3 linked regions of the Sus scrofa genome follow. The protein of the gene in region 1 interacts with the protein of each later gene in a pairwise test. Links are inferred from orthologs where the notes say so. Each region holds a gene or a part of one and is shown in the gene's direction. Other genes may lie near its edges. The genes, in order: RIC8A, EFEMP1 and SH3GLB1.

What was found.
Region 2: the proteins of RIC8A (region 1) and EFEMP1 interact in binary tests that used the Homo sapiens proteins (3 or more experiments, as listed by UniProt). The link is inferred for Sus scrofa from reciprocal best matches to the Homo sapiens genes RIC8A and EFEMP1.
Region 3: the proteins of RIC8A (region 1) and SH3GLB1 interact in binary tests that used the Homo sapiens proteins (3 or more experiments, as listed by UniProt). The link is inferred for Sus scrofa from reciprocal best matches to the Homo sapiens genes RIC8A and SH3GLB1.

The regions. Positions count from the first base shown.
Region 1 is NC_010444.4:30,776-34,520, forward strand, and holds the start of RIC8A (synembryn-A), read left to right. Parts: upstream 1-1,395; 5' UTR 1,396-1,518; coding exon 1,519-1,602; intron 1,603-1,877; coding exon 1,878-1,925; intron 1,926-2,011; coding exon 2,012-2,602; intron 2,603-3,080; coding exon 3,081-3,172; intron 3,173-3,644; coding exon 3,645-3,745.
Region 2 is NC_010445.4:85,406,534-85,410,278, forward strand, and holds the start of EFEMP1 (EGF-containing fibulin-like extracellular matrix protein 1 precursor), read left to right. Parts: upstream 1-1,143; 5' UTR 1,144-1,262; intron 1,263-2,500; 5' UTR 2,501-2,507; coding exon 2,508-2,588; intron 2,589-3,745. UniProt on the Homo sapiens protein: Binds EGFR, the EGF receptor, inducing EGFR autophosphorylation and the activation of downstream signaling pathways. May play a role in cell adhesion and migration. May function as a negative regulator of chondrocyte differentiation.
Region 3 is NC_010446.5:129,392,527-129,396,190, reverse strand, and holds the start of SH3GLB1 (endophilin-B1), read left to right. Parts: upstream 1-719; coding exon 720-791; intron 792-3,664. UniProt on the Homo sapiens protein: May be required for normal outer mitochondrial membrane dynamics. Required for coatomer-mediated retrograde transport in certain cells. May recruit other proteins to membranes with high curvature. May promote membrane fusion.

The DNA.
Region 1 (3,745 bases):
TCCTGCCGAAGGCGGTGTCAAATCCTAACTGGAAAGAGCTCACGGCCCTTTCTCAGGCGAGAGAGGCTCCTCGCGGCGACACGGCCCGGGGTCCGAGGCCCGCCCGGCTGCGGTGCGGTTAAGGCGAGGACTCGGTGTGAAGCACGCTCCAGATGCTGCCGGCGGGATAAAGAGGGGATCAGTGCCTGGAACAAGCGAGCGCTGCAAAAATCTCAGGGATGAAGCACTTGAAGGAAAACGGGAAATCAGGAAGAAGAGTGGGAGCGTGAGGGGAGTTAGGGGCAGGAGGAGCCGGTGCTGCGACCTTGCACCCGGGCACTGACAAGGGGTCTGGCACAAAATAGATGCTCAACAAAGGCTTGTTGCGCAGTGGGTGGAGTATATGTTATTCACCCACTGTAATGGAGCATTCACTCTGTGTCGTTTAGTGCTGACAACCCACCGAAATGGGACCTTTTATCATCTCTGCTTTTCAAAAGAGGGAACTGGGTCCAGGCCAGAAGATGTGTCTGCTTACACAGCCAGGAAGTCCCTGCACATGATCAGGCTTTGCCTTCATCCTGACCTGGACCTTCCCTCCCCACTCTCCCCTGTCTCTCAGCCCCAACAATGATCTCTTTCTCCTACAACGGCCATTCCCACCTTTACTCTGCCGGCTCCTTCGGCCTTGAATGAACTTCCCCCACATCCCTTCCTGGCTCACTTCTTCCTCTGGTCTCAGCAAAAGCGACACTTATTCAAATCCCCTTGGAGCCCATCAGGCCCCTTTTTCAATCACAGCACTATGACTGCTTAAAGTCTTCCCGTTTTCCCGTTTTTGTTTTCACCTCTGCAATATAAGCTCCACGAAGGCAAGGACCTGTGGGTTCTGTTCACCCACATCCTGGTTCCTTGCATGCTGTAGGCCCTCAAACGCCTGCTTAATAAACAAAGTGGTCCCGGGGCTGCAAAGTCCTTTCCACTTCGTCTTTCCTCGGAACATCTCATTCGTTCTGTACATCAAGAGGGGTGTAGTGTGCGTGTAATAGCGGGGTGAGAAGCTAAGGCCCTCTCCCGTAGGGAATTCACTGCTCGGAGCCGGAGCGATTCAGGCCCGTGGTCGGATAACCACTGAGTCGGACACTGAAAGGCAACGTGACTAGACATCAAAGCCTTTAAATTCCCGAGGGCTCTTCTAGGCCTCTCCACTTTAAGGCGCGCGCAGCCCGGGCCCCCGCCCCGCGCGGCGCCGCGCGCAGCCCGGGCCCCCGCCCCGCGCGGCGCCGCGCGCAGCCCGGGCCCCCGCCCCGCGCGGCGCCGCGCGCAGCCCGGGCCCCCGCCCCGCGCGGCGCCGCGCGCAGCCCGGGCCCCCGCCCCGCGCGGCGCCGCGCGCAGCCCGGGCCCCCGCCCGCGCGGCGCCGCGCACGCCCCTTCCCGGCCTCCCCCGCGCGCCGAGCTAGGGCCGGGCGGGCCGTCTGGGGCCCAGAGCCTTGGAGCGAGGTACCTTCCGCTTCCTCGGGCCGGGGTCCCGGGAGCGCCATGGAGCCTCGGGCGGTAGTGGATGCTATAGAGACGGGGGAGGAGGACGTGGTTATGGAGGCTCTGCGCGCCTACAACCGGGAGGTGAGCGGGAGCTATGGACGTGGGACGCGCAGGGAGGAGGTGGGGCTGGGTGGGTCCCGCGCGCGTGGCCGGCGGGGAGGGTGTGAGTGGTGAGCGTGGCGGAAGGCTGAGGGTGTTGGCGAGCACGGCGGGGAGGGGCACCGAGTCTTTGAAGAGTTGCTGGGGGTGCCGTGGGGAAAGGGAGCCCTGTCTATTGAGAGCGGTGTCTGCGGCCTTGGAGCTCGGATTCTGCTTCGGTGGACCTGTGCCTCCTAATCTTCTGGGTCTGTTTGCAGAACTCCCAGAGCTTCACGTTTGACGATGCCCAACAGGAGGACAGGAAGGTGGGTGCTTATCAAGGGTAAAGGGGCAGGGACGGGTGGCCCAGGTAGAGGAGCCTGATGGAACCGCTCTATTCCCCTGCCCACAGAGACTGGCGGAGCTGCTGGTCTCAGTCCTGGAGCAGGGCTTGTCACCTTCCCGCCGAGTCATCTGGCTGCAGAGCATCCGCATCCTGTCGAGGGACCGCAGCTGCCTGGACTCGTTCACCAGCCGCCAGAGCCTGCAAGCGCTTGCCTGCTATGCTGGCATCTCTGCTTCGAAGGGGTCGTGTCCTGAGACTCTGGACATGGATGTTGTGCTCGAGTCCCTTAAGTGCCTGTGCAACCTCGTGCTGAGCAGCTCCGTGGCACAGGTGCTCGCCGCAGAGGCGGGGCTAGTGGTGAGGCTCGCAGAGCGAGTGAGACTGTACCGCCAGAGCAGCTTCCCGCATGACGTCCAGTTCTTTGACTTGCGCCTCCTCTTCTTGCTAACGGCGCTTCGCACTGATGTGCGCAGGCAGCTGTTTGAGGAGCTGCAGGGAGTGCACCTGCTGACCGAGGCACTGGAGCTGACGCTGGGAATGACCCCTGGAGAGGGACCCCCGGAACTCCTTCCTTCCCAGGAGACCGAACGGGCCATGGAGATCCTCAAAGTGCTTTTCAACATCACCTTCGACTCCATCAAGAGGGAGGTGGATGAGGTGAGGGCTGGCCTCAGCCTTCGGTTGGGCTTAACAACTAGGATGCTTCCGGGACCTGCCTCTCTGCCAGGTACCCTCAAGTTTCTGGGTGTCGGACCAGGAGGACATCTGCACAGCAGCGCTTGTCAGGAGGAGGCAGGGAGGTGCCCGTTCCGTATAAGGGCATCGAGGAATCAGAGCGCGTATCTGGCTCTTGCAACACCAGGAGTGCTGTGTGGTGTGGGGGCAGGCTGTAGGAGATTCTTCGGGGGGCGGGGGGCGAGAGCACAGAGTGACTTCATCCCAAAGGGACCTGTTGATGTCCCTAACCACGAGAGTGCTCTTAAGGTCACATAAGTGAGGCTGAGCAGCCAGGTGTGGTGGAGGAGATGCATGGCCTGCATGAGGTCTGGCCGTGGGCCAGGCAGTAGATGTTCAGCAGGCAGCAGTGGGGGTGAGTGGCACTTTCTCTCACAGGCACCCCTTTCTCTTTGGTCAGGAAGACACTGCACTTTACCGGCACCTGGGGACCCTGCTGCGGCACTGTGTGATGGTCACTGCTGCTGGAGACCGCACAGAGGAGTTCCACGGGTGAGGGTGGTGCCTGTTGGGCACACCGGGGCGGGCGTCTGCTCTCAGGTCTATATGGTGGTTTCCAGCCCTAAAGAGAGAGTTTTCATCCAACTGGGTGGGACCAGGCATTGGTGTGTTTCCACAGAGCTGCAGCACTTAGAACACACAGCTAGGACAAGAATTGTGAGCTCAGGACAGAATGTGCCACTGGACCTTGAACACTGTGGTATCCATAGAGCAGTGTGGTTGTCACTTTCATTTTCTGTGACCTATGCCTGGGCGGGTCCCAATTTGGACTACCTGTTGTTTCGACCCAGGTGTGTGGGAGGTGGGATGTCTGCAAGGAGGGCCTCCCTCTGCTCTGGTACTTGGTGCTACTCAGGCCCCTGATACTGGTTCGGGTCATGTGTGATCCCAGCAGGGGGCAACAAGAGTTGCGCCTGTGCTGGGGGCCTGGGTTTACCCAGCCCTCCTTTCCATGTGTCCCCAGCCACACAGTGAACCTCCTGGGGAACTTGCCCCTCAAGTGTCTGGATGTCCTTCTCACCCTGGAGCCACACGAAGGCTCCCTGGAGTTCCTGGGAGTGAACA
Region 2 (3,745 bases), on another chromosome or scaffold:
TTCAATATTAGCAAAACCCCACCCACTAAGTAAGGTTCAGGGTTGTGAAGCTCCTTTGATCTTGTCCAATATTGTGTGGCCTGCAACCAAACTGGCAAGGTCTGGGCAACCCACTGCATACCCCAAAGGAGAGAAGCTTCCACCTGACAGCCTCCATCTTGTACACTATAAGGTCTTTCTCCCTAAGGTCAGTGGGGAAGGGCAAGGAGCCCTTCCCACCCTCTGCCTCCATTGAGGTCAGAGTTGATACCTTTGGTTTGCATATTATGTCATTCATGAAAGTGTATCTGCTTCAGAAGGCATAACTGCCCTGGAGGCAAACTATTAATTTGACTTTAGAGTTGGAGCTTTCAGAGATAACCACAATCTGTGTGGTATGATTTGAAGAAGCCAGAAAAAATATTTTCTTTTCCTCTTTCCAGATTCCTGAAATTCCACCATTAGTAATGAAAGGTGAGAGTGAAATGTCCAACTTTCAATGACCAGTGTTGGGGCTCCCACAGTGAACCAGTGGAGGGAAGAGAAGTAGTAGATGAGAAAAGAGGCTCCTAAAAAAGAGGTATTTGAGAGACCCAAAACAACCCAACTTCACAATTTTCTAAGTCTGACTTCTACTTGACCCATTCCCAACACCCGACACATAGTAAGTCACAATATTTGTTGAATGAATGAATGATCTTTTTTCTACCTCTGAGAAGCAGACCCTCCTCTACTCCCCGCCCCCCAAACCCAAAGAAGTATCTTAAAGAAAAACCGAAAGAATCAGTTCTATGAATGGGGTTAATTTACTCTTAGGATCACTTAGTGGGGGGGTGGGAGCGATTTCTCAGGACCCTCACAGGGCACGAGAAATCGCCCAGGAGGCTAGAGGATCACAAAGGCTGATTCAAACCCCGGACATCACATGCCAAACGTGCCACCTTCCGCCTGAAGTTCTAGCTTGTCTGAGAACTAAGGGTGAGGGGCCAGCAGGTGAGCGCGGGCGGGTGGAGGGCCCTCGGACGAGGGGGCGCGGACCCTGCTGCGCGGCACGCTCTCAGCGGGGTTTGCAGCGCTCAGCTCAGCCCTTGCGCCTCCCTCAACTCTCTCCTTCTCCCTCCCCTTTTCCTCCCTTTCTCTTCCTCCTCCTCCCCTTTCCCTCCCTTTCTCCTCCTCCTGCCTCCGCGGCCGCTGCCAGACCTCGCCAGTTCAGACCCACGGGGCTGCCCTCCCCTGCTCTCTCCCCTCGCTGCCCGGGCCCGGAGCGCAGCACGGCCGCGCAGGTAGGAGCCCCTAATGGGGGTCACGCCGGCGCGCTAAGCGCCCGCCGGGCTGCGCGCCGAGGAGTAAGTGGGGTGACCTGAGGGGTGCAGTGGACCTGAGAACTGCTCCCCCGTTGTGCAGGATCTCTCAGGCAAAGAGGGAGGTGGAGGTGTGCGGTCTCGGAATGCGATGTGTCAACATGTGCGAATACCGGGTGACATCTGTTTGGATGGGCATGTGTGTGCGTGCAGACAATCAGACGACAGGGCTTTGCCCATAAACAGGTTTTGAAAGTTTTAGGGGGCCAATGTGTAAGGTTTAAGCCGCACCTGGATTCCACCGGAGCTGCTTAGAAGCTGGAGCTCTGAGCAGCTCCCCAGGGATGGCCGCCAGTTAACATACTGTTAAGAAGGGGACCTCGCCTCCCTGGGGCCACCCTGGAACTGGTACTTAGGGCCACGGTGTGGTCCCCCAGTTCCGGCCCTAGGCAGACCCAATCCTGAAGGTAGCGTTTTAGGGACAGAGGGATTGATAAGGTACAAGGGAATGAGGCGCTTTGGGCTGCTCTTCTACAAAACTGAGGGCTCTTAAACAAAGCTGTGCACAGAGAACGCGTGGAAATGCCACTTAGAGAGTAGAGCTGAGGAATGTAAGAACGAGCTCTGAAAGGCAGGTATTCTACTAAGGGAGGAGATTGCTCCCGAGATTTGTTTCAGTCTTTTGTTTAAAAAAAAAAAGTTTGAGGCCAAGGTAATTCATATTGGTTCACAGGTATCTCTGCTGAGCTGAGCTAGGAATTTCACTAGCCTCACTAGCTGAGGTGAGCATACAAGGAAAGACTTAACGTTCAAAGGAATATGAGATTTGCTGCTCCACCTTCGCCCTCGCAAAAAAATGCACCTTCTCCTTTGAAATGAATTACCATGTATTCTTTCTCTCTCACCCCCTTTCTGGAGCCTGTTTTGTAGGTGCAGAATCAAAGGAACAGTATAAAATGCTGTACATCCTTTATATATATTCACCGCAGCCGACAGAGTAAAGTGAATGTAATTCTGCAACCCTTTCACAGTCTTTGGTGCCGCCTTTGGCCAAGGAAAGCTTGAGGTGGGGGAGGGGATATGAGAAAGTAGTTTGGAAGTTGGGTATGATGGAGCCTCCGCCTCCTCCGCCTTCTCTACCTTGCTTGCTACTTTACAGCTAAAGTATATTTCCCCGGCAGCAGATACTAAGCATCGGTTTGTCCCGTGTTTTCTTTGAGATTCACGATGTTGAAAGTCCTTTTCCTAACTATGCTGACTCTGGCGTTGGTCAAGTCACAGGACACCGAAGAAACCATCACATACACGGTAAGGGGTGATGGAATTTGAGATAAGTGCGGTTCAGCGAATTCTGTGGCACAAGGAAGACTGTCCATTCCTGCCAGTCTATGTGGGCTCTTCTCCGTGGAGGGTAATAAATTAAACAAACGTTAGGAAAGTTCATGTTTAAAATTCGTTGTAAATTGCTGGTCCCTCCAAAAGTTCATTTAGATCGCCATTTGGGATAGGAACCAAAATGTAAGGATTTATGCAAGGCTAAAAAGGTAAACCCCTTTAAAACAAAAGCCAAAGTAACCTACAAGCTCTCTACACATTCAGCAAAGTGATGAATGTAATTGGAAAAGCTTGAATCCCATGTATATGCAGATGAAACCAAAACATGAGGAGGAGGGCTCAAGTCAAATAAGAATGTTAAACATCACAAAAGCCCAGCTCCTCATTTGTGCATGTGACTATGTTCTCATGTAAATGGGTTTTCCTGACTTTATAAAGGCTATTCATTTATGATATAACTGATAAGACATATACAACTGTCCAAAGAGACTTTATGTGTTACCAGGATGCAGTATTTGATAAAATGGGTTTAAAATGCATTGTGTGAAATTTGGCTTTGAATAATCTAATTAGCATATCCAATATTTCCAAGTAACCTTTGATTCATTAGTTAATTGAATAGATATAACCAATGTTTAATAAAGTTGAAAACAGCATCTGACCCCTCCCACTGCCAGGAGAGGATATGGTGATAACAGAGGGCAGTGCTGACCTCACTTCTGTGAGTTTGTTTGCACCTCTGTTTTGTGTTTTCTAGTCCTTAATCAGTGTTGTGAGGCAAATGGCATTTGTCCTGGATCAGAATATGAGAAACATATTTTTCTACTTGCTCCCAATTTAAAATTAAGTAATCTTACTCAAAAGAATGTGAACAATTTTTGAAAATAAAACTCTTAAAAGTGAGCTAATGTCAATTACTGATAATAAACATTATCTCACTTTTTTGGTACCATATAACCCCTAGAATGTTAATATTCATCTGGCAAATGTTCTTTGTTGTTCAGATCAACTATAAATCAAATGGAGTTTAGTATAAATATTTTGTCAACTTAATGGTAAATGTAGTTGCTTCCTCTGCTGAAGATAAATAAAGAAAAATGAATACATGTGTTGTTTATCTTCATATGAAA
Region 3 (3,664 bases), on another chromosome or scaffold:
TTCACAGGTGCTGTAATTCTACGCTACAACGTCCCCATTTTCTCCTAAAACAAAACGGGGGGTTGGGGTTCTCTCTGTTCTGGAGGCTCAGACCAAACTGCAAACGTGCAGCGGCGCAGCGGCCCCGCGGCGCGCTTCTCGCCGCGAACGCCACCCTCCCTGAGGGGAACGCGCCCAGCTCCCGGCGCGCCCCGCGGCTCGGCGGCCGCGGTCCTGAAGGGGACGCTGTTCCCGCGATAACCTCGGCGGCCGCAGACCTGAAGGGGTCGCTGTTCCCGCGATAACCCCTGTAAAGGCCCCGCCCCGCGGCCCCGCGACCGCGGCCCTGAAGGGGTCGCTGTTCCCGCGATAACCCCCGTAAAGGCCCCGCCCCGCGGCCCGCGCTCGCTTCCTCCGTTGGGGACCCGGCCCCTCGCGGCGCGGACGCCGGCCGCTCTCCTGGAAGCCCACCGCGGCCCCGCCGGCGTTCGCGGCAGCTCCCCCTGAAGGGACAGGCCCTGCGTCCCGGCCGCCGCCGCTCGGGCGCGCGGCCGGCTCCGAGGCGCCGGTTCTCGCCGCCGCCCCGCCCTCCCCCCACGGAAACGACAGCTGCGGCGGGGCCGGCGCCGCCTCCCTCCGACCACGTCCGCCCCCGCCGCGCGCACCCCGCGCCCCAGCCCGGCCGCCGCGCCGCCGCCTCCCGGTAGGTCCGCCGGCCGCCGCGCCCGGCTGCCCCCAGGATGAACATCATGGACTTCAACGTGAAGAAGCTGGCGGCCGACGCGGGCACCTTCCTCAGCCGCGCAGTGCAGGTACCGCGCGGGGGGGAGGGCGGCGGCGCCCGGGGGGCGGGGAGGGGTCGCCGAGGCGGCCGCGCCCGTGGTGCCGGCTTCCGACCGCCCGCGGGCCTGCTGCGGCCGCGGCCCCTGAGGGCGCGGCCTGGTACCCTCTGCGCCCGGCGGCCGTTTTCCTGCCCTCCTGCCCAACCGCCGCTCGGGCAGGCGCCGCGGAGCGGGGCCGGGCCGGAGCCTCCCTTCCTCGGGAGGAGCGGGGCCGGGCCGGAGCCCCCCTTCCTCGGGAGGAGCGGGGCCGGGCCGGAGCCCCGCTTCCTCGGGAGGAGCGGGGACGGGCCGGAGCCCCCCTTCCTCGGGAGGAGCGGGGCCGGGCCGGAGCCCCCCTTCCTCGGGAGGAGCGGGGACGGGCCGGAGCCCCGCTTCCTCGGGAGGAGCGGGGACGGGCCGGAGCCCCCCTTCCTCGGGAGGAGCGGGGACGGGCCGGAGCCCCCCTTCCTCGGGAGGAGCGGGGCCGGGCCGGAGCCCCCTTCCTCGGGAGGAGCGGGGCCGGGCCGGAGCCCCCCTTCCTCGGGAGGAGCGGGGACGGGCCGGAGCCCCGCTTCCTCGGGAGGAGCGGGGACGGGCCGGAGCCCCCCTTCCTCGGGAGGAGCGGGGACGGGCCGGAGCCCCCCTTCCTCGGGAGGAGCGGGGACGGGCCGGAGCCCCCCTTCCTCGGGAGGAGCGGGGACGGGCCGGAGCCCCCCTTCCTCGGGAGGAGCGGGGACGGGCCGGAGCACACCTCGAGCTCGGCCCCGGGCTGCGGCACCTCTCCTCCTGCCTCTCCGACGCCGAGGCCGGGGCCTGGGTGCGCTCCCTCCCGGGCGGGCGGAGCCCTTGCGCGTCCGCGAGGGGCCGGGAGACGGCCGTCCTTGCAGCACCCCCGCCCTGTCCTCCGGGCTCGCTCCTCGCCGGGTCCGAGAAGGAAGTTTGCTTTCCTAACCCTCTGTCGGGACAGCTGCCAGCACAGCGCCCCGCAGTCCTGCGCCCGGCTGCCCGCGTCCGGACTCAGCCAAGGCCGCGGGCTGGGGTCCCACTGGTTTTCAAAGTGGGGAGCACAGGCAGTGGGGCAGCGAGAGAGGGGGTGGGGTTCTTGTCGCGCCTCCAGTCACAGGGACATTTTTCGAAAACACTTTAGGGGGAAAGTTGAGTACCTCGCGTATTCAGAAATTAAGGAAGTGTCAGTCCTGGGAACTCGGGACAGTTTTCTGCAGGCGCCACCCACACTGTGCCACCGCGGGGAAATCTGTGAGCAGGTGTGAATTTCACAGTACGGGGTGTAAACAATCTGGCGTTTTAAGTTAATGGCACAGTCACAGTAGCAACAGCATTCTCTTTTGTAAACAGAAAACAAAAATAGTTTTCTAATGTAACATACCCGGCTGGTACTGAAATGTAAGTCATTGTGAAACTTTACTGCTTTCCTAGTTGCCTTTAGCCCACTTTTTTTGGCATAGTTGACGCTGCACGATGCTTGACTTGTAGAAGAATGGAAGAATTAGAGCAAGACACTAGCTGTTTATTTTAGTGCAAATTCTCAGTGATTCTGGTGCTGAATGCAGATTTGACACTAGGTAATGCCACTTTGAAATAAAGCTGGATGTTTTCGGGTACATAATCCCCACTGCTTAAGTAGGACATACGTATTATGGTTTGATTGAAGTGGTTGATCAACTTCATGTAAAAAATCTGGCACAGCTCTCAAGATGTGCTTCCCACGTTAATTTCAGTTATTCACTGTTTCAAATTCTCTAGGAAAAAGTTTGAAAATTCTATCTTCTGTTAGTTATCAAATAATTTTCAGTCTTAAATACTTCACTGTCTGCTCCACATCCGCATGTTACTGCTGTTTTGGCCAGTAGTGATACAGCAATAAATAAAATCGCCAAAATTTCTGCCCTCCTGGAGTTTACAGTCGAGCGGGAAAAGACAAACTAAGTACATTAGAGAAAAAAGCCAAAAAAGATTAGTTTAGGACAGGGGTGGTGGTTGCTGCTGTTACATGAACATATTGGAAAGGGCAGTTTTTTCTGTTAGGATCAAATTCAGAAAGACCTCAACGAAGTGACACTTCTCCCCTTTTTTTGTTTTTTTGTTTGTTTGTTTGTTTCCTTTGAGGAAAAGCATTTCAGGCAGAGGTAACAAATGCAGGATCTGAGGTTGCAGGGGTGCTAGAGAGACCAGTTAGGGAGTTGTGGCCCTAGGTCAGGCAAAAGGTGATGTGACTTAAATAAGAGGAGGTTCAGAATCTGTCCAGTGTTGAGTGTCATATTGGCTCTGGGTTATGAGAGAAAGATGAGTCAAGGATGACTCTGAGGTTGTGGCTTGAGCCATTTACTAAGAAGGGAAAAATTTCAGGAGGATCAGGCTCCTTTAATGTGTCTTTTTGTATTAAGTCTGTAATATATATTGCGAAATATTTATGTACAAACTATGTCATGTCTGAGAATTGCTTTAAAATATTTCAGAAGAAAAAATGTGGATAATTGAAACAGTATTGGCAAAAGGTTGATACTTGCTGACGCTTGGTTATGGGTTCATGAGGTTTTATTATACTACTATACATTATGTGTGACATTTTCCATGGTTTTTTAAATAAAATATGTAAGGAAAAAGAGGTGGTTGCAAAATGGAACGTGAAATCTGGAATGCTATGTGGTAATTTTCAACAAAATACTGCATTCCCATTTCATTATTTAGTCAGTAACAGAGTTCCTGCTCTAAATTGAGTTGACCTAAGTGTTGTGCCAAAAAGTGCCAAGTTTCATGCTAAGAATAGTGTAAGAGCTATGCCAGTTCCTCATTACAAGCAATAAGATCAGCAGGAATGGAATTCAGCTTTAATATTTCTGAAT